Stegostoma tigrinum: one gene and its partner. The protein of the gene in region 1 purifies or fractionates together with the protein of each later gene. This does not show direct contact. Links are inferred from orthologs where the notes say so. Each region holds a gene or a part of one and is shown on either strand. Other genes may lie near its edges.

Region 1 (7,390 bases):
GAGTCAAATAGGTGCCTTGGTTTAATGTCTGGCCTAACGGGCATCAGTGGAGTGTTCGTCTCAACAATGCGCTCAAGCTTTAACATCAAATGGAAGTCAGGCTACAAAGCACCAAATTCGTGGAATTTACAGAGCAGATATAAAGCTCCAAATGCTTGCTCTAACAACAGTACACACACAACCCAACTTTCCTTTTCATGGAGGTCAAGTGGACCCTACATATTGCCCAATGAAGCAGGCAGACATTTGAATGTAACAGAATAACCAGAGGAGCCCAGGTGGTGCCAATGCACTGTGCCAGCTTTAACAAGCACTGTACATCGGCCATGGATTAGCGCAGAGCACTGTCCCCCAAGTCAAAAGGCCATGGGTTCACAGCCCAGGAACATCAGGACAAAATACAGGCCAACAAATCAGTGTGGTAGTTGAAGGAGGGCTGTGGTGTCAGAGGCGCTAGCTTTAAGGGAAATGTAAAAATAAGGTCCCACCTGCCCTTTCAGATGGACAAAGTCAGAAGTTACTTGTCACCAGGTTATGGTGCAAGAGGTTTATTTGAAATCACAAGCTTTCAGCGTGTAGCCCCTTCATCAGGTGACATGAAGGGAAGCGCACTGGGACAGAATTTATGCGTGGAGATATAACAACAAGATAATTCAAGGTAATTAAGAGTATCAAAAGATAAGTACAACAGAACAAAGAACAATCCAGCACAGGAACAGGTCCTTCAGCCCTCCAAGCCTGCGCCAGCACATTTTGCCGTTCCACACTAGAACGGTCTTCACTTACAGGATCCATATCCCTCTATTCCCTTCCTATGCTTGTATTCATTCAAGTGATTCGTGAATGCTACTTTTGTGCAAGGCACATTTTTCACACATCTCTTTTGAACACCCCCATGGTACCTTGAATCTGTATCTCTAGTAATTGACCCCTTCACCCTGGGAAAAGACCGCATTCTTTTCACACTATCTAGGCCATGCACAATGTTATGAACTTCTTTCTAGCTGCCCTCCTGCATTCTAGTGAAAACAAGCCCAGTCTATCCAACCTTTCTTTATAGCTAAAATTCCCATTCCAGGCTACATCCTAGCAAACCTTTTCTATTTCCTTTCCAAAGCATCCACATCTTTCTGGCAGTGAGGGGACCAGAATTGTCAGCAATATTCTAGGTATGGCCTAACTAAACTTCTCTAAAGCCGCAGCATAACTTGACTATCCTTGTAGTCAACGCCCCTTCCAAAGAAAGCAAGCACGCTGCTGTAGGCCTTTTTTAAACCACCTTTCTACGTACACAGCCACTTAGTGATCTGTGGATCTGCACAGCAAGATCCCTCTGCATGTCAATACTCCTAAGGGTTCTGCCATTCACTGTATAAGTTCCTGTACTTGACCTTCCAAAATGCATTTGTCCGGATTAAACACGCATTTGCTATTTTTCTGCCCGTACCTCCGAATGATCTATAACCTGCTGTATCCTCTGACAATCCTCCTCACTATTCTCAATTCCACCGATCTTTGTTATAATCTGCAAACTTACTAATTAGACCAGCTATGTTTTCCTTCAAATCATTGATGTAGATCGCAAGCAGAGGTCCCAGCAGTGATCCCTGTGGAACATCACCAGTCACAACCTTCCCTTCTGAAAAGCATTCTTCCACTGCTACCCTGTCTCCAATCATTAAGTCAGATCTGTATCCATGTTGCCAGCTCACCTCAATAACATGTGACTTCATCTTTTGTACCAGTCTGCTACGAGGGACCTTGTTAGAGGCTTTACTGAAGTCCATGTAGACAACCTCAGCCACTTTTCCCTCAATCATTTCCATCACCTCCTCAAAAAATTCAAATCAGTTATTGAGGCACGGCCTCTCCTGCATAAAACCATGCTGTTGAGTGTTAGTCAGTCCATTTGCTTCTAAATGCTTATAGATCTTGACCCTGAGAATCTATTGCACTAATTTCCCTACCACCATGAGGCTTAGAGGCCTGTAATTTCCTGGATTATCCCCAATACGCTTTTTAAACAATGGTTATTCTCCAGTCCTCTGGGACCTCACCTGTCACCAAAGAGGATAGAAAGATGCCTGTCAGTGGTCCAGCGACGGGCTTTCTTCCCTCCCTCAATATTCTGTGATAGATCCCACCAGGACCAGAGGACTTATCTATCTTAATACTTTTTAAGACACACATCACCACTTCTTTTTTAATAGCAACTTGGTTTAGTAATGCGACTCTCTGTTCCCTGAGATCACCCCTGTTCCAATTACTTCTCTTTCACAAATACTGGTACAGAGTTATCTTTTAAGACCTCTCCACCGACCTCTTCTGGACACACACAGACACACACACAGACACACACACTCACTCCACTGTCCTTGAGTGGGCTAACATTTCCCCACAACAGTGCTCCCCAATAGTGTGTGAGTAGAGTATTGACAAGCAGAATAACATTTCTATGCAGGTGATCAAAAAAGTGTTAAATGGTGTAAGTGAAGTGACAACAGCAGACTAGCAAGTGAGGGGATGACCATTCTTAGTTACCTGTAATTATCTTGCCATTATCTCTCTGCATATAAATTCTGTGCCGGTACAGGTCCTTCCACTTCAACTGACGAAGGAGCAGTGTTTTGAAACTTGTGATTCAAATAAACCTGTTCGGACTGTGACTCTAGCACCTGCAGTTCTTGCTATCTCCTGTTGGGGCTCTTACTTGGTGTCATGTGATCTCTGACTATGTCTACCCAAGTCGAACACTGGCATCTCCACTCTCAGGTGGAGGTAAAGGAGCCCATTGTAACCACTCAAAGGCAGGCTCTGGCATCTAGGTCAATATTCACTCCAGCAACTCCCTGTTGTAGTTTACCCAGTCATTACCATACAGCTTAATGTGTACAATTAGCTAACATATAACAATGACTGGGTGTCAAAATTGTCTCATCGGCTGCACAGTGCTCTGTGACGTGTTGAGAAAAGATACTGTCACCTACCACATAGAAGTCGAATGGGATGTGAGGAACGAATGGTCTGAACCTGTTTACGTTGGAGAGAAATAAAAGTTTCAAATTAATAAAATCTGGATTGTAACAGAAAAAATCTTTAGCAAACGACTGTCTCGTGACACGTACCCCCCAACTGGGCCACCCCTTGCACCAAAACGTCCACGGCCACGTCCTCTGTCGCCTCTGCAATAGAAAGCATATGAATGCGCAGTTAAAACAGATACAAGCTCCGTAGGTGGGGAAAACATGCAACCCCAAGGAAACAGCATTAAGGTGGTCTGTGGCGTAGTGTGTCCAAGCTCCTGAATCCTGGATGTGGCCAAAAATACCAAACAAGCCAAGTCCTGGATTCAAAAGCAACTTTTTAAAATCAGTCACAAGTAACGAAAACAAAAAGAGCACAGATCAAAAATGATGCTGGCATCAAATCTAGAAGACAGCAATAACAGGGACAGAATCTTAAAGTCCCCAAAGGAAATGTTGGGAAAAGTGGCCAGTCTAAGCTCACGAACCATCTTGTTTACATACGCTGAAGTCATTACATTAATCCCCGACAACTATTTTGTTCTGCTGCTTAAATAATGTCAGTTAACATTCAATTTCCCTCAAAACATCAACATCTACTTACCTTCTGCACCTATATTTTCATTCACACTATCCTACATTCACTCGTCATTGTTCCATAGATGGTGAGTCCCAATCATTCCCCCAGCCCCTCCAAACCTCCCTAAATGGGGGTCTAATTGGATGTCATTGAGAAACATTTCCTTGGAACGTTCCAGTTGCGAGTTGTCTAGTCCTACTTTCACAGTCATAGAACACAGACACAGACCCTTTGGTCCAACTAATCCATGCTGACCATAATCCCAAACTAAACTAGCTCCACCTGTCTGTGCTTGGCCCATATCCCTCCCATCATATTCTACTCATGTACTCATCCAAATGTCATTTCAATGTCGCAGCTGTACACACATCCACCTCTTTCTGTGCAAGTTCATTCCACATATGAACTAGTGTAAACAGAGCCAAAAAAAATTGCCTCTCACGTGTTTTAAATCTTTCTCATGTCACCTTAAATATATCCCCCCAGTCTTGAAATCCCCCACCTTAGAGAAAAAGACAGCCCATATCCCTCTAAACCTTTCCTACTTGCATACCCATGCGGATGGCCTTTTAAATGTTGTAATTGTACAGCCTCCACCACTTCCTTGGGCACCTGGGTTCCATAAATACACCACCTTCTGTGTGAAAACATTATCCCTCCAGGTCCCTGCATCGTCCTAGCATTCTATGTCCAATAGGTGAGCTTAATCTGTAGTTTCCAGGGTGAAATTCACTGGCTCTCAAAGTCAGTTTTTTTTTAAACATGAAGGGGAGCTGTCTGTGCATAGTATTTGCTCCATGGTGTCGTGCGTTCAGACTGTAAATGGTCTGCCTGCAGTCACTGTGTACAAAAAAGTGCAGAGTCCCATCCTGAAAACTCCAGGTCAATACAAGAGCAGTGTGGGGGGGGAAATCAATAGGACACATTGCCAGAAAGCCAAAAGGAAAAGGCTAGCACCTTTCATGAATGCCAAACACTCCGTAGTATTTTATAGCCATGAAGTATGTTTGAAATGAAGTGCATTATTAAAATATGGCATTCAATTTAAGTCAAATGTACTCCTACAATTAGCTATGCGATAACAAGCTGCTTGTGCAAGGTTGACAGTGTGGACACCAGGATAATTTCCCTGCTCTTCGTCAAAGTAATGACAGAGAATCTTCAATATCAACATGAGGGGGTTGATCGGCCCTTGTTTTTGATGTCTCATCCACAGACAGTACCTCCGACAGCGTAGCACCCCTCAGTGTTGCACAGGGACTTACAAGTGTTGAAGTGGAATTTGAACCCACAACGTTCTGACCTCAAGGCAACAGTTCTGCTCACTTCATCACAGCCGATACTAAATGGGAAAGGCTGAGAAGCAAAACTCTGGAGGAATGAGGAAGGAGTTCTCAGAACAGGTTAAATTCTTGCAATGTAACCAGAGTGTGTGTTTGTGTTCCAGCTTTGTGCCTTGCTCCTGACACAGTGAAAACTGCCAACCTTGCGGCAGGTTGTGGGTACAACATACACTGTCTTCACTAGAATTAACCGTGGGCATCATCAATGCCACATTCAAATGTGGTTTTGAGATAGGAATTTTGCGCATTCATGTCGAAAATTTTCTGCAACAGCGTCCTGCTTTGGGGATCTCAGAATTATTCAATGTGACAGCACAGACACAACATTCAGCCTGCCTGTGCCAGCTCATGCCCATCTGTATTATAACACAACTTCCCTTCAAAAAAGCTGCTTACACCCATATTTTGGTAGGGCATTCAACACACAATTAACCCTCCTTATAATGAAATTTCTCATCTTTATCCAGATTATAATCTGGAAATTTATATTCAATAGGTATCCATTGCCATTGGATGATTTGATCTCTATTAATCCAATTAAATCTACTGTAAGATGTATTAATGCCCCAAAAATGCAGATTTTTAATCACTGGTGCTTATACCACAAGCATCCATCCCTCAGGGCCAATATGGAGAACCTAGACATGTTCCTGTGAGTACCATGACCTTTGTAATTTTGCACATTTTCTCTACACCTGCATTGATTAGAGTGTTGATATCAGTTACAACTGGGTAATGTAGACAATTGCAAATGTCAATGCTGTTTTTGCTGTAACGCACCAAACTCTCAAAAGGCTAAAGGCAAGTACTAAATTCAAAGCAAAATAGAAGTAACGCCAAAAGCCAAGGTGACTTATTCCAGGGGGTTACATTTAAAACAGAAGTCAAAAAGGTTTGCTACCTGGAATTGTGCTTAACTGAGAATGAGATCTTCATTAACAAGGCTGCACTGCCTCAACAGTCCAGATGATTAGGTATACAATTCACAGAGCTGCTGTTTTATAACATTTCCCCAATCATGGAAATTAACAACAACCTTGGTACATTCACATGCCTGTCAAGTAACTTAATTTGCCGTTGACATTTCTGAATGTTTGAGAGAATACGATGCTGAAAGAACGACTATTTGACTTCAGCAAGGTCATCTAACAGCTCATCTACTATTACACTGCACCTTTACAACAACATTGTTGACATAGCAGTTTTAATTTTTGATAAAATCCACAGTGCTTCATAGTGAGAGATTGTGACAAGATTAGAAGCCAAGGCTCCCAAGGAAGTAGGTGACACAATAGGAAAGACAGGTGTTAAGAACAGTGTTAAAGGGAGAAGACCAGGGAGGTTTAAGGAAAGCAAATTCCAGAGCTTGGAGCAAAGCAGATGAAAGCACAGCCATCAAAGATGGACCACCAAAATAGGTCTTCGACAATGCTGTCAACCTGCACTAACTTACTCGACAATAACTGCTGTTAGGTTTGAGTTCTGACAGGGTCCCCATCTCCGAAACATGTCCAAACGTGGACAAAGCAGTCTGAATTCCAGAGGGGAGGCAATGCGAAAGCCATGTGGTGCCCATACTTATCACACAGTGACAACTCCACCACGGCTCTCCGAGCAGAAAAAGACAAATAACAGGGTGAGCAAGAGGGCATTAATTAATTTTAAGAGATGAAAGAGAGAGAGGACTTTGTCAGTTTTAGAAAAGCAAAATGCTGTGAATCTGAAACAAACACAATGCTGTAGAATCTCATCAAGTCTGGCAGCCGCTGTGGAGATAGAAACACAGTTAACATTTCAGAGTCCAGGTCAGCTATTCTTCAAAACTGAAAGGAGCTGGAAAATGATGGCTTTATGCTGTAAACAAAGCAAGTGGAATAGATGGAAAAAGTGATGCAGACCAAAGACAAAGGCAGTGACAATGAGGTAAAGGGGAATCAGAGTAAAACAGGTGTAAATGTTAAAATAATAGCAACATTGCAGATGCTGAAAATCTGTAACAAACACAGGGAACGGTGGAGAAAGTCAGCAGGTCTGGCAGCATTTGTGCAATGAGGAACACAGTTACCATTGTGAGCCCAGGGCAACTCTGCTACTCTTTGTATTTGTTTAAGATTTCCAACATCTGCAGAATTTTACTTCCGTAAGATTTGCACCAAATTAACAACTCTATCTCTCCATTATTAGATCAATGGCTGATCTGTAGCTAACCCCCATCAGCCCGGTTTGAAGAGAAGACACAGTAGCAGAAGTAGGCCATTCAGCCCAAGAAGTCCAGTGTGAAAGACAAAACATAAAAACTGTGGATGCTGTAAATCTGAAACAAAAACAGAAAGTGCTGGCGAAACTCAGCAGGTCTAGCAGCATCCGTGGACAGAAAGAGTCAATGATTTGGGCCCAATGACCTTTCTGCAAAGTGATTCTGAAGAAAGATCACTGGATTGAAA
Region 2 (7,755 bases), on another chromosome or scaffold:
GTTCTTTAAAAAAAATTCAGCAATTTATAAATTCAAATCATAGCATATCCAGCTTTAAATGCCATGGTTCAAAAGTTACAATTTAGCTTTTAGATTCAAATCTTAAATCCTTCTGAACATTTAATATTTAAAATTCCTGCCTGGTTTGCAAAGAAAGAGGACTGAAGATTAATAATTTAGACATCCTGTACTAATGAACTACAGGGAATATGGAATAAAAGTTGTACAGTTTGAGGCCAAACAAATGGAAGAAAAGGTGAAGAGAAGAATCACACAGGAAGCAATGTAAAGTAACTCCCATGCCAAATTTTGCCCATTCAAGCATTTCTCTCTCTCACACACAAATGTAGCATTTTCAACAACCTTCAGACGTAACCTCATGACACTCCATGTAAATCTGTAAAGTTACATTAAACCAAAAGCTGAAGCACAAAGAATGGAGGCATCTTTTGAAGAGTGAATGAAATCAAATCTCATTTTAAGTCTGGTCCTCAAAAGTTTGTTTTTTCTACTGAGAAACTTGAAGCCAGCCAGGTGAGGAAATAGGTCAAAAACTAACCTAGTAATTTTTGTATTACAAAAGCATCCTGTGACAAACAATTCAACTTCTATCAATCCATATGGAACGTTCAAACCAATAGTGATCTTTATTTTAAAAAGCCAACAGTTGGCATTGCTTTCTAAAGCTATTAAATCCTGTTTTAGAACTGTCAAATTAGCCTTAGAGTGAAATATTGATGTTTAACCTCAACACTCCATACAATATCAATTATATATTTTGGTAACAACATTTTTGAATAATCTTAATGCACAGTTTTAAGATCGATGAACAATCGATTGCACATTAGGGTTCACGTGAAGCAACAAATACACAAGAATTAATTCCCTTCCCTATCAAATGATCTCTTACATTTCGTGGACAATAGAGGAAACATTGAATTGTGATTTTCGTTTTGTTGGCTCTTAAATTGAGAGCTCCTCACGTGTTTGTCGATTAGCATGATGCAAAGCATCTCAGATCATTTCCTGCTGACGCCCAAACTTCTCAAAAAACACTGCACCAGGTCTCGTTTTAAAACTAGAAGTGTGTTCTGGTGTCTTCTCAAATAAAATATTTTTGATCAAATACTCCAGTGATATATAAAAGAAATAAAAGAATTCAACTAGAAACCAAAACAAAAGTACAAAGGGACATTTAAAAAAAGTATCCGAGATTCAAACGGTAATTAGTTTCTAACTTAAGTAGACGGATCCCAGAGACTCGTAGGGTTTAAGATAACCTTGAATTCCAAACAGATATAATCGCTAATTAGTCAGTTGTAGTCTAATTCTCTCTGATCGGAAAGAAATCTGATACGAATTAAAGTTTCTTTTACCTTTGTCGTTTAGGAACGGAGTGCTCCACTTCTATAGATTTCCCATGCAGCTCAACTTTACCTGAAGCAAAGCACAAAATACAATGCGTATTAAGCACTTGAAAACGTTTAAAATCGACCGTTCAGCCAAGATTATTTTTAATTATCTTCTGTTGATCTTAAGCGTTAGGTTTGCAGTTGAACAACAACTTGCTGGGCAACTATGTTACAAATCTCGGAACAGTGTCGACAAGAAAGTTCGGCGTAGAACGTAAAGGAGTCGGTCAACTGTAGTCACAAAACTGATATGAACAAGTACAATTTGAAATTTTTTTTTAAGAAAACGTGAACTCAATTGCTGTGCTCTAATTCTCAGCCATTTTTCTAGTGGTCGAGTGCTAAAGGACACTTTTGGGACTCAGTATGGCCGACTACAAATGCGTTCGCGCTGGGGGACGGAACGAATGAAAAAAAAATTGATATTGTCAATAGTTTTCGGATAGTGAGCTTTCATTTGTCTTTATTTCTGTCAGAAGTATAAGATTTGAAGTGCGTATTCCTTTCCCGGTGCGCACTGATTTGAATGATGGCTCCGAGCTGCCGCTGGAGTTATTAAAGGCCTACTCTCACCAAGAAGGTACAACAACACGGGCCGAATTCTCCGACCCCAGCCCAATTACACAAGATCAATAAAGAGTTGACAAATTAAAGAATCCTGTACAGAATGCATCCCCGTATAGTTACTGTCAATCCACTGAACGCTTGAAGTGTAACAATTCAATGGGGGAAAGAAAAGACCGCGTGCAGATGCAGAGGAATAACGGGTGGGGGTTCCAAATGTTATTTAGATTAGGTTAAAAAGAAACCCAATTTCTGTGCGAACGTCACAAGAAAATCCAGTTTAGGTGTAGATACGAGGAGTGGATATTTGCAAAACACACGGGTGTAAGCAGCTTCGTCTCGCCCGCGCCCCCAGTCGATTTGTGCGAAACTGGTGCGCAAGGAGCTGCCTTAGGCCTCCCACCAAACAAGGTTCACGACTGTTTGTTTCAAAACTTGAGGTAATATTAGACTACAAGGGATTAACTCGCTTACCTGACAGAGTATCTATCGCCTTCATAGCACAGTTATCATCTGGGCAATCGACAAATGCATAACCAGATTTCACCAGAAACTGTCCAGTGAAGGGAATCTTCCATTCCTTGAAAAGACTTTCCAAGTCCACAGTGGTTACGTTTTCGGTGAGATTCCCAATGTACAGCTTGTTCATGTTGCTAAAACTGCAAAAAAAAAGACAAAGATCCTTCCGTCCTTATCTTCCCTTTGGAGAAATAATCGGTCGATTTAAATATAAAGATGGGAGCGAGAAGAGTCCTTACAAAAAAAATACACGCGATGATAAAATAAATCCCCAGAAGTAGTATTAGCAGTCTAGAATGGCGGGCTTCGGAGAGAGAAAAAAACTATTTTTTTGTCTTTCCCCCAAAACCCCTTTCGCAAACAGGCTGTGAAAATGTCACACTACGTTACTACTAGCACCGCCTCTGAATAAAATGCAGCTCCAAAAAATCCCCGAATATTCCGGCTGAATGAGCCACGTGGTCAAACTAATATCAACTTCTCACGTGAGGAATGCCAGCTATTCAATGATACTGGGAGAGAAACGGAGGGAGGGACGAGCTGTACTCCAAGAATCCGAGAAACATATTGATTGTGGAATAATAGTAGTTTGGAGCGCTCTCCATTTTTTTCCCTCTTCCCATTTTCCGTCTTCTCATTCGCACACAGCTTGACTCTAGGATCCTATCAAGCGTCTCCAGCCTCGCTACCATTGACCAAGTTTTTTTTGCTCTCTCTCCCTCTCTGCCTGCAAATTTCATTCATTGGCTTAGATCAGGCTGCCATTTACAAGGGCGATGGCGCGAAAATTCTCCTGACTGTTGCAGTTCCCCAATGTGGTGATGGTTATGCGAGTTATTGGTCTGGTTGATCGGTGGGGGTTGGGGCTGGTTGTGTGAGGCGAGGCGGGGGAGGGAGTGCATTTTCGCTGTGATCTGCCCATCTTTTGCGTCCCCTCCCTGTTTAAAGCTGAATAATGTGGTAACGATACCGTGTTCAGGAGATGTCTAATCGGGTCGTGCCAAAACCGATACGTTGCAATGGCTGCTCCTTTATTATTGGAGACGTTGTTCTTTTATTATTAAACGACGTTTTTACCCCCAGATTTTGGTTGGTTGATGGGATCCACTGAATGGGTAATTACATTATCTCATTGAAATGTTGGTCGAAAGTGATCTTTTGAAAGTTGTAGCAGTTTCGACGTTTTCTTACGCTATTCGGCAACTCCACTATTGTTCACACGAGGCGACGTTACCTCTATAAAATATTGGAACTCCAGGTCTTTGATTTATTTTCAAAGGTCGTTTGTTTAAATGTGTGCCCACAGGCAAGTTTTGTTAAAAAAAATAAAAGCGTATCAGAATTATTTTTTAAAATAACTCGTGCTGAGCTGTCGTTGGCGCAGTTCTTCTTAAAAAAAGAACGTTTTCGTTTTTTGGAAAAATAGCTAACTAAATTCACATTGCACAACTTTATTGGCGGAAGTGTTCAGAACGAACGAAAATCTACATCCGAGATTCAAACCCGTCTCCTTTGTTGGCAATCGCGTATGTGTGAAGTTCGGTATTGTCGATTTAAAAATTGTGCAAAGCCACTTCGCTCTTTACGGACGCATCTAATAATTTCCCCGCCCGGCACGAGGGGGTAATTTCGTTATAAAAATAAAATAATCGTTAGTGAATGAAGTTGTACCTTGCGATCATTCCTCATGACTCTAGCTGTCCACTTTAATGGACTAGATGATAGGTAGCGTACGAGCGCTTAGCACGTTTTCATAAATTCAAAACTGAAGTTAATCGTGCTATTTCGTTTACGTTAACTGCTTCAAAATCTTTTGTTCCGATTTCATGTTCCGTTTGCCGATTATAATTCCTGGAACGTTATAGCAATCTTCGGGAAATTGAAGTATGTGGATTGAAGTCAAATATATGCCGTATTTATTGATGTAATTGATTTACAAAATACTTTTAAAATTGTATTTGCTGCGTGTTTAGTGCGATTGATAATCGGACTAGCCAAGGAAAAAGAAAATGTTAATTTGGTGATTCGGTTGAGTATTAATTTTTAATCGTGTGGTGTGCCGTCCCATTTGGACTCATTGGGGGAAATTACTGTGTGGTGTAAGTAAATAAATTGTTTCATATATCTTTTACCAGCTTACTGAAAGATTAAAATATCCATTTAATTTGATTACCATGTTTAAATGGTCAATTCAATAACCAAAGCTTCACTTTAAATGAAAATTCAAACTGGGGGAGGGGCAAATAGAACGTAGGGCTTTATAAGAGCTTCATTGTTTAAAAAAACTCCCAAAAATTGTTGTTAAAGAAATAATACATTATGAACAGATTATTATATCCAAGATCTGACACTTTGGAACTTATTTTGTGGCAGAAGAGAAAAACTAAGTTAATATGTTCTATTATAGTTGTGATATGCTTCAAATCTTTGTTCTACCACAAAGTTCACACTTTCTACTGTTCCTTAAAGCTTCGTCTGCATTCCCCATAATCATCCACCTCTACTTAAATCAATTTCAAATACCAGAGGTGTCAATGTTGTTCATTTTGAAATTATGAAAAACTGATGTCAAACTAAATTCTTATTACCAGTTAAAGTGCACTATGTTATTATAAGTTTCCATCTTCAAACAAAATGTCAAATAACAACTCGATGTTTCAGTAAAAAGTCTTTATGTTGACTTTTCAATTATCTTAAATTCCTATATGTTGTACTGTTTTAATATTTAATGTTTTAACATGAAAACATACATTAAAAATGGTAAAGTACTTTGAATAAACACATTTGAAGTTTTGTTTTCAAATTAAAACATCAGTGGTTCTACAGAGAGCCGCATAGATTTAAGAAAATATAAAGCAATGCCACCTCTATAACCATTTCAACGCTTTTGAAAAGCTTATAGGGTATTGGTTTTTGTTCTTTATCTTCTAAATATGTATTAAAAACATGTTGAATTGATCAACTTACTTTTTGTGAGAGCAAATCTCACTTTGTTCTGCACGTTGCACATTTCATTCTTTGTGTAGATATTGTAGTCACGATTAACAATACAAATGCAATTCCTTAACTACTTTGAAATTATTTATTGTTGAGTAAAACCATCGCTCTACAAGGATAAATAACAGTGAAGCTTAAACCTGATCAAAATATTTGCAAATAATGTGATTTTAAAATATTGCACAAATTTATTATAGCCAAGGTAATTTTGACAATGGATTTAATAGATTAATATATATTAAAGTGTAACTTCGTCATAAATTCAGTACAAAAGTAAATTAATTTTGTCATTTTAAAGCATTGTATACTGTGATATTTGTTTTCAATACTATTGAAAAATGTAACCTATATTTAGACAAAGCAAATAATTGTAGCTTATTGAAATATTTCAAACAAAATTCATAACATTAGGCAATGTTTCCAAAGAATCTGATGGAAAAGTAATTTAAAAGTTACTTGGAATATTCTTCACAAAAATAAAAATCAGATTATGTTCTTTCCATTTCCTTTGTGCCTCCTTTTTTTCTGTCAAAACATAAAACAGTTAGAATGCAACTAAAGTTGTGAAATAACATTTCTAAATTATTGTCTGGGCATGTAAACACAATGTGACTAGTACATTGTTAACTACATGAACTAGTTTTAAGTCTAAACAGCTTCAAATTAGATTGTTTTGTTTTCAAGAATTAGAACTAAAACAACTGCATGAAATTAACAGAGGATCATGTCTTTATATATTGGAGTCTTCAAATTAGGATTTGCATTTAGTCCAAAACAATATTATCAACATTATCTAAAATTGATAATTCTTTCATTGTCTAATGGGACTTTTACTTTTCTTACCATATCTTTTTAATCAAGAATTATATTGTTATCTAGTTAAGTTTACTTTTTTGCTAATTGGTTACAGAATTGTTGAATTATTTAATTGTTCACTATAAACCAGATTATGCAAGCTTCTAATACATTTTTAAGAGAAAGACAGCTTAAATGTTCTCTGAGCTGTATGAGCTTTGAAATCAAAATGAACGTTAAAGTCTGAATAATCAATTGTCTTCATTGCTCGGATCTTTGAGTATAGGAGTTGGGACGTCATGTTGAGGTTACACAGAACGTTGGTGAGGCCTCTTCTGTAGTACTGTGTTCAGTCCTGGTGGCCCTGCTATAGGAAGGATATTATTAAACTGGAGAGGTTTCAACAAAGATTTACCAGGATGTTGCCGGGAATGGAGGATTTGAGATATAAAAATAGAGTGGGAAGACTGAGGCTTTTACTGGATCTTTGAAGGTTTGAGGGGTAACCTTAGTGGGATTTATAAAATCATGAGGGGGCATAGATAAGGAGAATAACAAGGGTCTTTTCTCTAGGCTGGTGGAATTTAAAACTAGGGGGCATTTTTAAGATAGGAGAAAGATTTAAAAAGAACGTGAGGGTCAACATTTTTTTTTCCACAGTGGATATTGTATGAATGAATTTCCAGAGAAAGTGGTAGTTGCAGGTTCAGTTACAAGGGTACATGAATAGGAAAGGTTTGCAGGGATGTGAGCCAAATGCAGTAGTTGTAAGTAGTTTAGGTTGGAAACATGTTCGGTGTGGACTAGTTGGACCAAAGTGTCTGTTTCCTTGCTGTATGACTCTGAACTTATCTACCTGTAGCATTTTGCATCAAACTGTACATTAATGCTTAAAAGCAGGATATGAAACCACTGCCTTTAATGATTCAAAATATGAAAATATTACGATCCAAAGCTATTCACAATATATGAAGTCTTTCAATAGTCTTTGAATAAGGAATAAGTTGTAAGTGATCCTGATGCTATGAAATGTTTTAATATGCATTTTGACATCATTTTTAGAATTTGTGATAAAATGTTAAACCCAAAACAGTGAAATTATGCCATTAGCCAGAAGTTCAGTTCTTTTGTAAAATTGAATAGATGCTTTGAGATATTGCATATTGTCCAATCCTAAAACTGAATATATCTGCTTTATTAATAATAATTACAAAATTCTGAAAAGTCTGGTTCGCGAACATAAAAGGAAAATAAACCTTTACGCATTGTGCCTCTCCATCATAAAAATCTTATGGGGTGCAGGAAGGAAATCCTGTTTATGTTGGCGTGGTGAAGGAAAACGGATTTTAAATTTTAAAACAACTTTTCAATTAAACCCAAAATATGTTTTCTTCTGTTAGTGTATCTTTCAAACAAACTGCCATTTGATAATTGTCTTTGTTTGAGTTGTCCAATTTTAATGGTGTTT

The links. Proteins that work in one complex are often made in the same cells at the same time.
Region 2: the proteins of ilf2 (region 1) and igf2bp3 purify together in Homo sapiens (affinity purification with mass spectrometry; 3 studies listed by BioGRID and IntAct, counting the BioPlex papers as one, with this or other methods). This does not show direct contact. The link is inferred for Stegostoma tigrinum from reciprocal best matches to the Homo sapiens genes ILF2 and IGF2BP3.

Annotation. Positions count from the first base shown.
Region 1 is NC_081400.1:1,950,121-1,957,510, forward strand, and holds the start of ilf2 (interleukin enhancer-binding factor 2 homolog), read right to left. Parts: upstream 3,204-7,390; 5' UTR 3,126-3,203; intron 3,031-3,125; 5' UTR 2,988-3,030; intron 1-2,987. UniProt on the Homo sapiens protein: Chromatin-interacting protein that forms a stable heterodimer with interleukin enhancer-binding factor 3/ILF3 and plays a role in several biological processes including transcription, innate immunity or cell growth.
Region 2 is NC_081355.1:76,370,683-76,378,437, forward strand, and holds the start of igf2bp3 (insulin-like growth factor 2 mRNA-binding protein 3), read right to left. Parts: upstream 3,300-7,755; 5' UTR 2,981-3,299; intron 2,975-2,980; exon of another isoform or gene 2,636-2,974; 5' UTR 2,626-2,635; coding exon 2,451-2,625; intron 1,438-2,450; coding exon 1,377-1,437; intron 1-1,376. UniProt on the Homo sapiens protein: RNA-binding factor that may recruit target transcripts to cytoplasmic protein-RNA complexes (mRNPs). This transcript 'caging' into mRNPs allows mRNA transport and transient storage.